Linked DNA regions of Macaca fascicularis. The protein of the gene in region 2 interacts with the protein of the main gene of each other region in a biochemical or structural test. Links are inferred from orthologs where the notes say so. Each region holds a gene or a part of one and is shown on either strand. Other genes may lie near its edges.

What was found. The genes of interacting proteins can lie anywhere in the genome.
Region 1: the proteins of CHM (region 2) and RAB7A are reported together in a solved structure, tested with the Homo sapiens proteins (2 studies listed by BioGRID, with this or other methods). The link is inferred for Macaca fascicularis from reciprocal best matches to the Homo sapiens genes CHM and RAB7A.

The regions. Positions count from the first base shown.
Region 1 is NC_088376.1:154,624,658-154,628,311, forward strand, and holds part of RAB7A (ras-related protein Rab-7a), read right to left. Parts: intron 1,988-3,654; coding exon 1,861-1,987; intron 1-1,860.
Region 2 is NC_088395.1:92,472,143-92,475,654, forward strand, and holds part of CHM (rab proteins geranylgeranyltransferase component A 1), read right to left. Parts: intron 983-3,512; coding exon 808-982; coding exon of another isoform or gene 791-807; 3' UTR 1-790. UniProt on the Homo sapiens protein: Substrate-binding subunit of the Rab geranylgeranyltransferase (GGTase) complex.

The DNA of each region.
Region 1 (3,654 bases), on a different chromosome or scaffold from region 2:
TAGTCATTGTGAACATCTCTTGTGGTACATTATTTCCTCATGTGGTTATGAATTCATCTTCTCTCCTACAGTAGTAAATGTCCCTACAGAGTAGTCTTACCCTTGTTTTTGCCAGGATTGACAGAGATTTATGTTAAATTCTTTGAGACAAAGATTTCTGTACATGTGGATAGTGGGACTGAGATTCTCCAACAACTGCAGACACAAGTTTTGCCAATTCCTTGGGCCAAGGTTTTCCAGTTCTACTCTCAAGCTTGACTTGCTTAAACTGCAGTTACATTTTGAAGATCTCTAGGTGTATGTGTATAGGTAAGGTGAGGATGAGAGATTCATACTAGCTCTGTCCTAGAAGTGTCAGTCAATTAAGAGTCCTGATCCTCTAGGAGCATGCCACAGCTCGAGGTCAACACATGTACAAACTTCTACCTTTAACCTACATCATTCACACATTTCAGCGAGCCCCCACTATCTGCCAGGTACTTGCTAGGACTACAATGGGATTGGAATTTGCCTCTAGAAGCATGTAGGAAAGAACATCTGCCACAGAGATAGAAGTTTCAAAAGATCTGAGCGAAAAGTTGGAGACTTCCGGTGGGTATACAGGCCCTGCTGGAAGCAGAGACATATCCACCAACACAAGTCTGTAAGAGCAGCACATGATTCAGAAGGACTGGAAGGAGACAAAAAAAAGTGAGTAGCAGCTATTTCTACCATCTTTCCTTGCCTCCATAATGGTGTGCATGAATGTCTTGGTTGATGCTCTCAAAGGCAAACACCAGGTACTTATTAGGCTGTGCTCCCAAGTCATCATCTGGTTCTAAGTGTGAAACGAAACATGATCACATTGAAAAATTGAAATCATCGGTGATCACAGAGCTGGGAAAATTACTGTGAACCTCACAGGCAGGTTAAAACTGGAATGAATGGCCCCAGATTTGATGTGCAACTCAAAGATCTAGAAAAGTGACAGAATAATCTACTCCTATCCCAATAGTTTGGTTTCAAAGTCAGGTTGTACTGACAACCTCAGCTGGCATCACGGACCATGAATAAAGAGATGAAAATACAGGAGGGAAAATCATGGGATTCTTTTATTTTTTTAATTTAGTGACAGGGTCTCACTCCATCACCCAGGCTGGAGTATAATGGAGCAGTCACAGTTTACTGCAGGCTCGAACTCCTGGGCTCAAGGTATCCACCCTTCAGGGGTTCTTTTCTAGGGATATAATACATGTATACAAACAAAATGACTCAAAGGGGAAAAAAAAAGGGAGTAACAGTTTATAGCCAGAATGTGAAGGCTTTTCAACAAGTCACATGAAAGAATCTACATCTTATCCTAACTGTTGAAAGGGAAACCCTTGAAAGATTAATAAGCTGATACATAAAAAAAAAACAGATTGGCTCAATAGACACACAACTCTTGAAGTTACATATGAAATAGAAAGTCAAAAAAATAAAGAAACTTCATGTCTCACTACTGAGGTGAGACAAATATGTTTACCTAAAGCACTGGGCAAGAACGTCAAGAGAAACACAAGATAGAGACCTGCAGGTTGCCAAATTTAGCAAACAAGACCAAAAACAACAAAAAACAAGAAAGGATAAATCTGAGTTTTTTTTAAAAAAAGAAGAAATTTTAGTGTGTCTTAGCAAGTTGTATCTGAGATATACAAGAAGTATACCAAAAAAGTATTCACTATTGATCTGAAATTCAAATTTAACTGAGTATCAGCCAATTATCTACAAACAGGATAATAAGATTTGAAGAACAGGGAAGAAAAATGTCTATGCATGAGGAAAGATTAAGACTAAAGGAACTATCAAGGCCTGGTTAGCACAGCCAAGACATATGCTTACCTGCATTGTGACTAGTCTGTCATCCACCATCACCTCCTTGGTCAGAAAGTCAGCTCCTATTGTGGCTTTGTACTGATTGCTGAATTTCTTATTCACATACTGGTTCATGAGTGATGTCTTCCCGACTCTGAAATTGGAGAAAAACCACAAGCATAAGTCAAATAGGAAGGTCCTGAAACTGACATGAATTACTTGAAGCATTTGAAAGAATCTGCCTGACCTGAAGGACAAGAAACTGCTCTCACAGCAAAGGGCAATGCCAGTAGCCTTCCCAGCATTACACTTTTGAAGTTTTGTGCTTTCTCTCTGGGTAAAAATACAAGGTACAGATGTGGGGCAGATGTGGAAAAGCTGCTTACATGTTTTGGTACAATCAGGTCAAATGGTAAAGCCTAGTATTATTTTTCCCATTCTAGAAGGATGCCAGCAAATATACTCCTTTTTTTTTTTTTTTTTTTTTTTTGAGACGGAGTCTCGCTGTGTCTCCCAGGCTGGGGTGCAGTGGCGTGATCTTGGCTCACTGCAAGCTCCGCCTCCCGGGTTCACGCCATTCTCCCGCCTCAGCCTCCCAAGTAGCTGAGACTACAGGCGCCTGCCACCACACCCGGCTAGTTTTTTGTATTTTTAGTAGAGACGGGGTTTCACCATGTTAGCCAGGATAGTCTCGATCTCCTGACCACGTGATCCACCCGCCTCGGCCTCCCAAAGTGCTGGGATTACAGGCTTGAGCCACCGCGCCCGGCCATATACTCCTTCTAAAGAAGCTTCACTAATAAGAGTGCTCTGCTATTCCAACAGTATCCCTGCTATCTTAGATGTTTCTCCATTTAGTGGCTGCTCTTTAGCTTGATGAAGTAACACCAGGAGGAAGACCTTGGCTTTGAGCAGACATATACCACTCAGACAATTTGCTGCTTTAAAGTTTAAAATCTGAAGCAGAAAAAGCACCAATATATCACCAAACCAAATATACTTCAAAGAATACTCCTCCAAATATGTTTTCCAGTAAGAAAACTCAGCAAGAGACAAAGTGTGATTTTTGTGTGATGAGGTTAAGGCAACCTAAAGATAATGCAAAAACCTTCCAAATACCCAGTGATATCACCTTCCTTTGCCACAAAGGAACATGTTCATATTTGTGTTAAAGAACCTAGAGGTACCCAGACAGCCTAAGGCAGTGTTTTCCAATCCAGACCACCTGAGCCAGAATCTCCAAGGGGAGAGGTGGCAAAACCTGGAATCAAATGAGGGCTCGGTGAGACTTTTTGCACACATTTGGGTAAGGCAGGCCTAAAAGCACTATCTTTCCATCCCGACAGGGATGGAGTTGCGGGGTAGGAAAGACAGCACAAATTTAGGCCCTAGCCCACTGGTCTGGGGCTGGACAAATGCTAGCGAATAAAAGGTTCTTCAAAGGCTGGGCATTGTGGCTCAAGCCTGTAATCCCAGCACTTTGGGAGGTCGAGACGAGTGGATTGCTTGAGCGCAGGAGTTTGAGACCAGCCTGGGCAACATGGCGAAACTCTGTCTCTACAAAAAATACAAAAATTTAACCAGGAGTGGTAGAACATACTTGTGGTCCCAGCTACTCTGGAGGCTGAGGTGGGAGGATCACTTGAGCCCAGGAGGTTGAGGCTGCAGTGAGCTGTGATTGCACCATTCACTCTAGTCTGGGCAACAGGGCGAGACCCTGTCTCTCACACGCATACAAAAAAAGGTTCTTCAGGTGATTCAGATAAGCCAGTCAAGATAGAAAAACCTCTGGCTTTTCAAAGGAAGGACAGGGGACTTTGG
Region 2 (3,512 bases):
CATCAGAAGGACAGCCAGGATTAAATTAGGTCTGTAGACAATTAGCCTAATACTCTAGTTATTTGACAGACAGAACATCCAAATATCAATGAGCCTATCCACACATTTCCTTCCATTCTTTCACTTCTTCATTATTGACCTTTCCCAATATGTAAATAATTTACAAACAAATATCACTACTGATACTAAAAAACACTACTGACTTGTTCTTAACAATGTCTAAACACCTTTGTATTAGCATTTTCAATGCTTCTCAACATAGAAAGCAAAACAAAACAAAACAAACCTGTATTCTAAATACAGGCTTCTATCTAGATCATGATACTTTAGTTTTTCTATATGTTTTTATCATTATGTTATGATGCTCTTGTCCATAAAGAAAATATAATTCAAATAACCAAAGAAAATATGTGAGCTGGTTCTGAAAATGTGGCTTTCAAACAAAGATCCATAGTGGTAAGCAAAATTGTCCTAAGACCACGGAATTATTAACAATGCATAGGATCACTTTCATATCCACAGTTACATTCCTGAGAATCAATTGATTTATAATTTTCATCTGCTAGTCACACAAGTTTGGTATTCAAAATGAGCAAGTCAATGTGCTTTGTAAGTGTTGTGTGTTCTTGTAACGTCCTCTATAAGGAAAATCCCCTTTTGGATTTCTATTACCTATTTTGCCTTATAATTGCTGTTGCTTTCTAACATTTTTCAAACAGTCCTTCTATCAAGTAGACTCTGAGACCAGTAGAAATTTCCAAAGTTGGGTATCCAGTTCGGTGTATATCCATTATTCAGAGGACTCCTCTAGGTTTCCAAGGTTTGTGCTTTCCTTGAAAGTCTCTGAGTTAGCCTCTGGTATGGCACTGGATTCTGAAGCCTCTGGCTGTAAACCGTCTCCATCAAGGACAATGTCTTCAGGATTTGGTGGAGGGGGACAGAAATCTTCACTGGGGCAGATTTCCTGGAAAAGTGTTTCAGCCTGGCCAAGGAAGAAAAGATAAATCATTTTTGGAAATCGGTTTAAAATCTGTGTGCATTTCTGGCATTAACTAAAAACAATTAAGTGTTATCCTTAAAATTTTCCTTAAGCAGGTTATAGTACTTTATCAGAATACATGAACTTCTATAAGTCTGTTTTCAGAATTCTGTGACTTCTCCCTTTAATTCTATACATGTATTCAGGTCAACACTTCAAGGACGGTAGTATCTCATCAGGTTCATTATCAAGTGTTCAGATTGTTGAGAACTGAAACACATTCATTCTACATATCGAAAGAAATACAATTGCCTTAATATTGCTTATATGATATCTCATAGAGACTTGATATGGTTTGGTTCTGAGTCCCCCCCCCAAATCTCATCTCAAATTATTATCCCCACATGTTAGGGGGCGATTAGATTATGGGGGTGACTGTTCCCATGTTGTTCTTGTGATAGTGAATTCTCACAAGATCTGATGGTTTAAAAGTATTTAGCAGTTCCCCCTTTTCTCTTTCTCCTGCCAGCAAGTAAGATGTGCCTTGCTTCCCCTTCACCCTCTGACATGATTATAACTCTCCTGAGGCCTTCCCAGCCATGTGATCTTGTGAGTTAATTAAACCTTTTTTGTTTACAAATTACCTAGTCTCAGGTAGTATCTTTACGGCAGTGTAAGAGACACTAACACAGAATTGGTACCAGGAGTGGGGTACTGCTAAAAGATAACCTGAAAATGTGGAAGTGACTTTGGAATTGTGTAACAGGCAGAAGTTAGAATCGTTTGGAGGGCTCAGAAGAAGAAAGGTAAATGTGGGAAAATTTGGAACTTTCTAGAGACTTGTTGAATGGTTTTGGCCAAAATGCTGATAGTGATATGGACAATGATGTCCAGGCTGAGGTGGCCTCAGATGGAGATGAGGAACTTACTGGGAACTGGAGCAAAGGTGACTCTTGCTATGCTTTAGCGAAGAGACTAGTGGCATTTTGTCCCCACCCTAGAGATCTGTGAAACTTTGAAGTTAAGAAAGATGATTTAGGATATGTGGCAGAAGAAATTTCTAAGCAGCAAAGCATTCAAGAGGTGACCGGGCTGCTTCTGAAAGCACTCAGTCATGTGTGTTCACAAAGAGATGGTCTGATATTGGAACTTACGTTTAAAAGGGAAGCAGAGCATGAAGGTTTGGAAAATTTGCAGCCTGACCACGTGGGAGAAAATAAAAACCCATTTTCTGGGGAGGAATTCATGCTGGCTACAGCAATTTGCATAAGCAATGATGAGCTAAATGTCAATAGACAAGACAATGGGGAAAATGTCTCCAGGGCATGTCAGAGATCTTCCCTAGGAGGGAAAAACGGTTTTGTGGGCTGGGTGGGCCCCACTGCTCTGTGCAGCCCTGGAACATGATAGCCTACATCCCAGCTGCTCCAGCTCCAGCCATGGCTAAAAGGAATAAAGGTACAGCTTGAGCTGTTGCTTCAGAGGGTGCAAGCCCCAAGTGTTGCCAGCTTCCATGTGATGTTGGGCCTGAGGGTGCACAAAAGACAAGAGCTGAAGTTTGGGAGCCTCTGCAGAGATTTCAGAGGATGTTAGGAAACGCCTAGATGGCCAGGCAGAAGTCTGCTGCAGGGGTAGAGCCCTCATGGAGAACTTCTGCTAGGGCAGTGCTGAAGGGAAATGTGGGCTTGGAGCCCCCACAAAGAGTCACCACTAGGGAACTGTTTAGTGGAGCTGTAAGAAGATGGCCACTGTCCTCTAGACCCCAGAATGGTAGATCCACTGACAGCTTGCCCCATGCACCTGGAAAAGTCACAGGCACTTAATGCCAGCCTGTGAAAGCAGGCACAGTGCCTATGCCCTGCAGAGCCACAGGGTTGGAACTGCCCAAGGCTGTGGGCATCTAGCCCTTGTATCAGCATGGCCTGGATGTGAGACTTGGAGTCAAAGGAGATTTTGGAGCTTTAAGATTTAATGACTGCCTGGCCGGGTTTTGGACTTGCATGGGGCCTATGGCCCCCTTGTTTTGTCCAATTTCTCCCATTTGGAATGGGGACATTTACCCAATGCCTATACTCCATTGTATCTTGGAAGTAACTAACTTGCTTTTGATTTTACAGGTTCATAGGGGGAAGGGACTTGACTTGTCTCAGATGAGACTTTGGACATAGACTTTTGAGTTAATGCTGGAATGAGTTTTAAGACTTTGGAGGGCTGTTGGGAAGGGATGATTGGTTTTGAAATGTGAAAAGGACATGAGACTTGGGGAGGGTCAGGGGCAGAATGATATGGTTTGGCTCTGTGTCCCCACCCGAATCTCATTTGCAATTGTAATCCACAAGTATTACGGAGGGACTGGTGGGAGGTGAATGGATTATGGGGGCAGTTTTCCCCATGCTGTTCTCGTGATAGTGACTTCTCACAAGATCTGATGGTTTAAAAGTGTTTGGCAGTTCCCTCTTCGCTTTCTCTCTCCTGCCACCATGTAAGACATGCCTTGCTTCCCCTTTGCCTTCCACCATGATTTTACATTTCC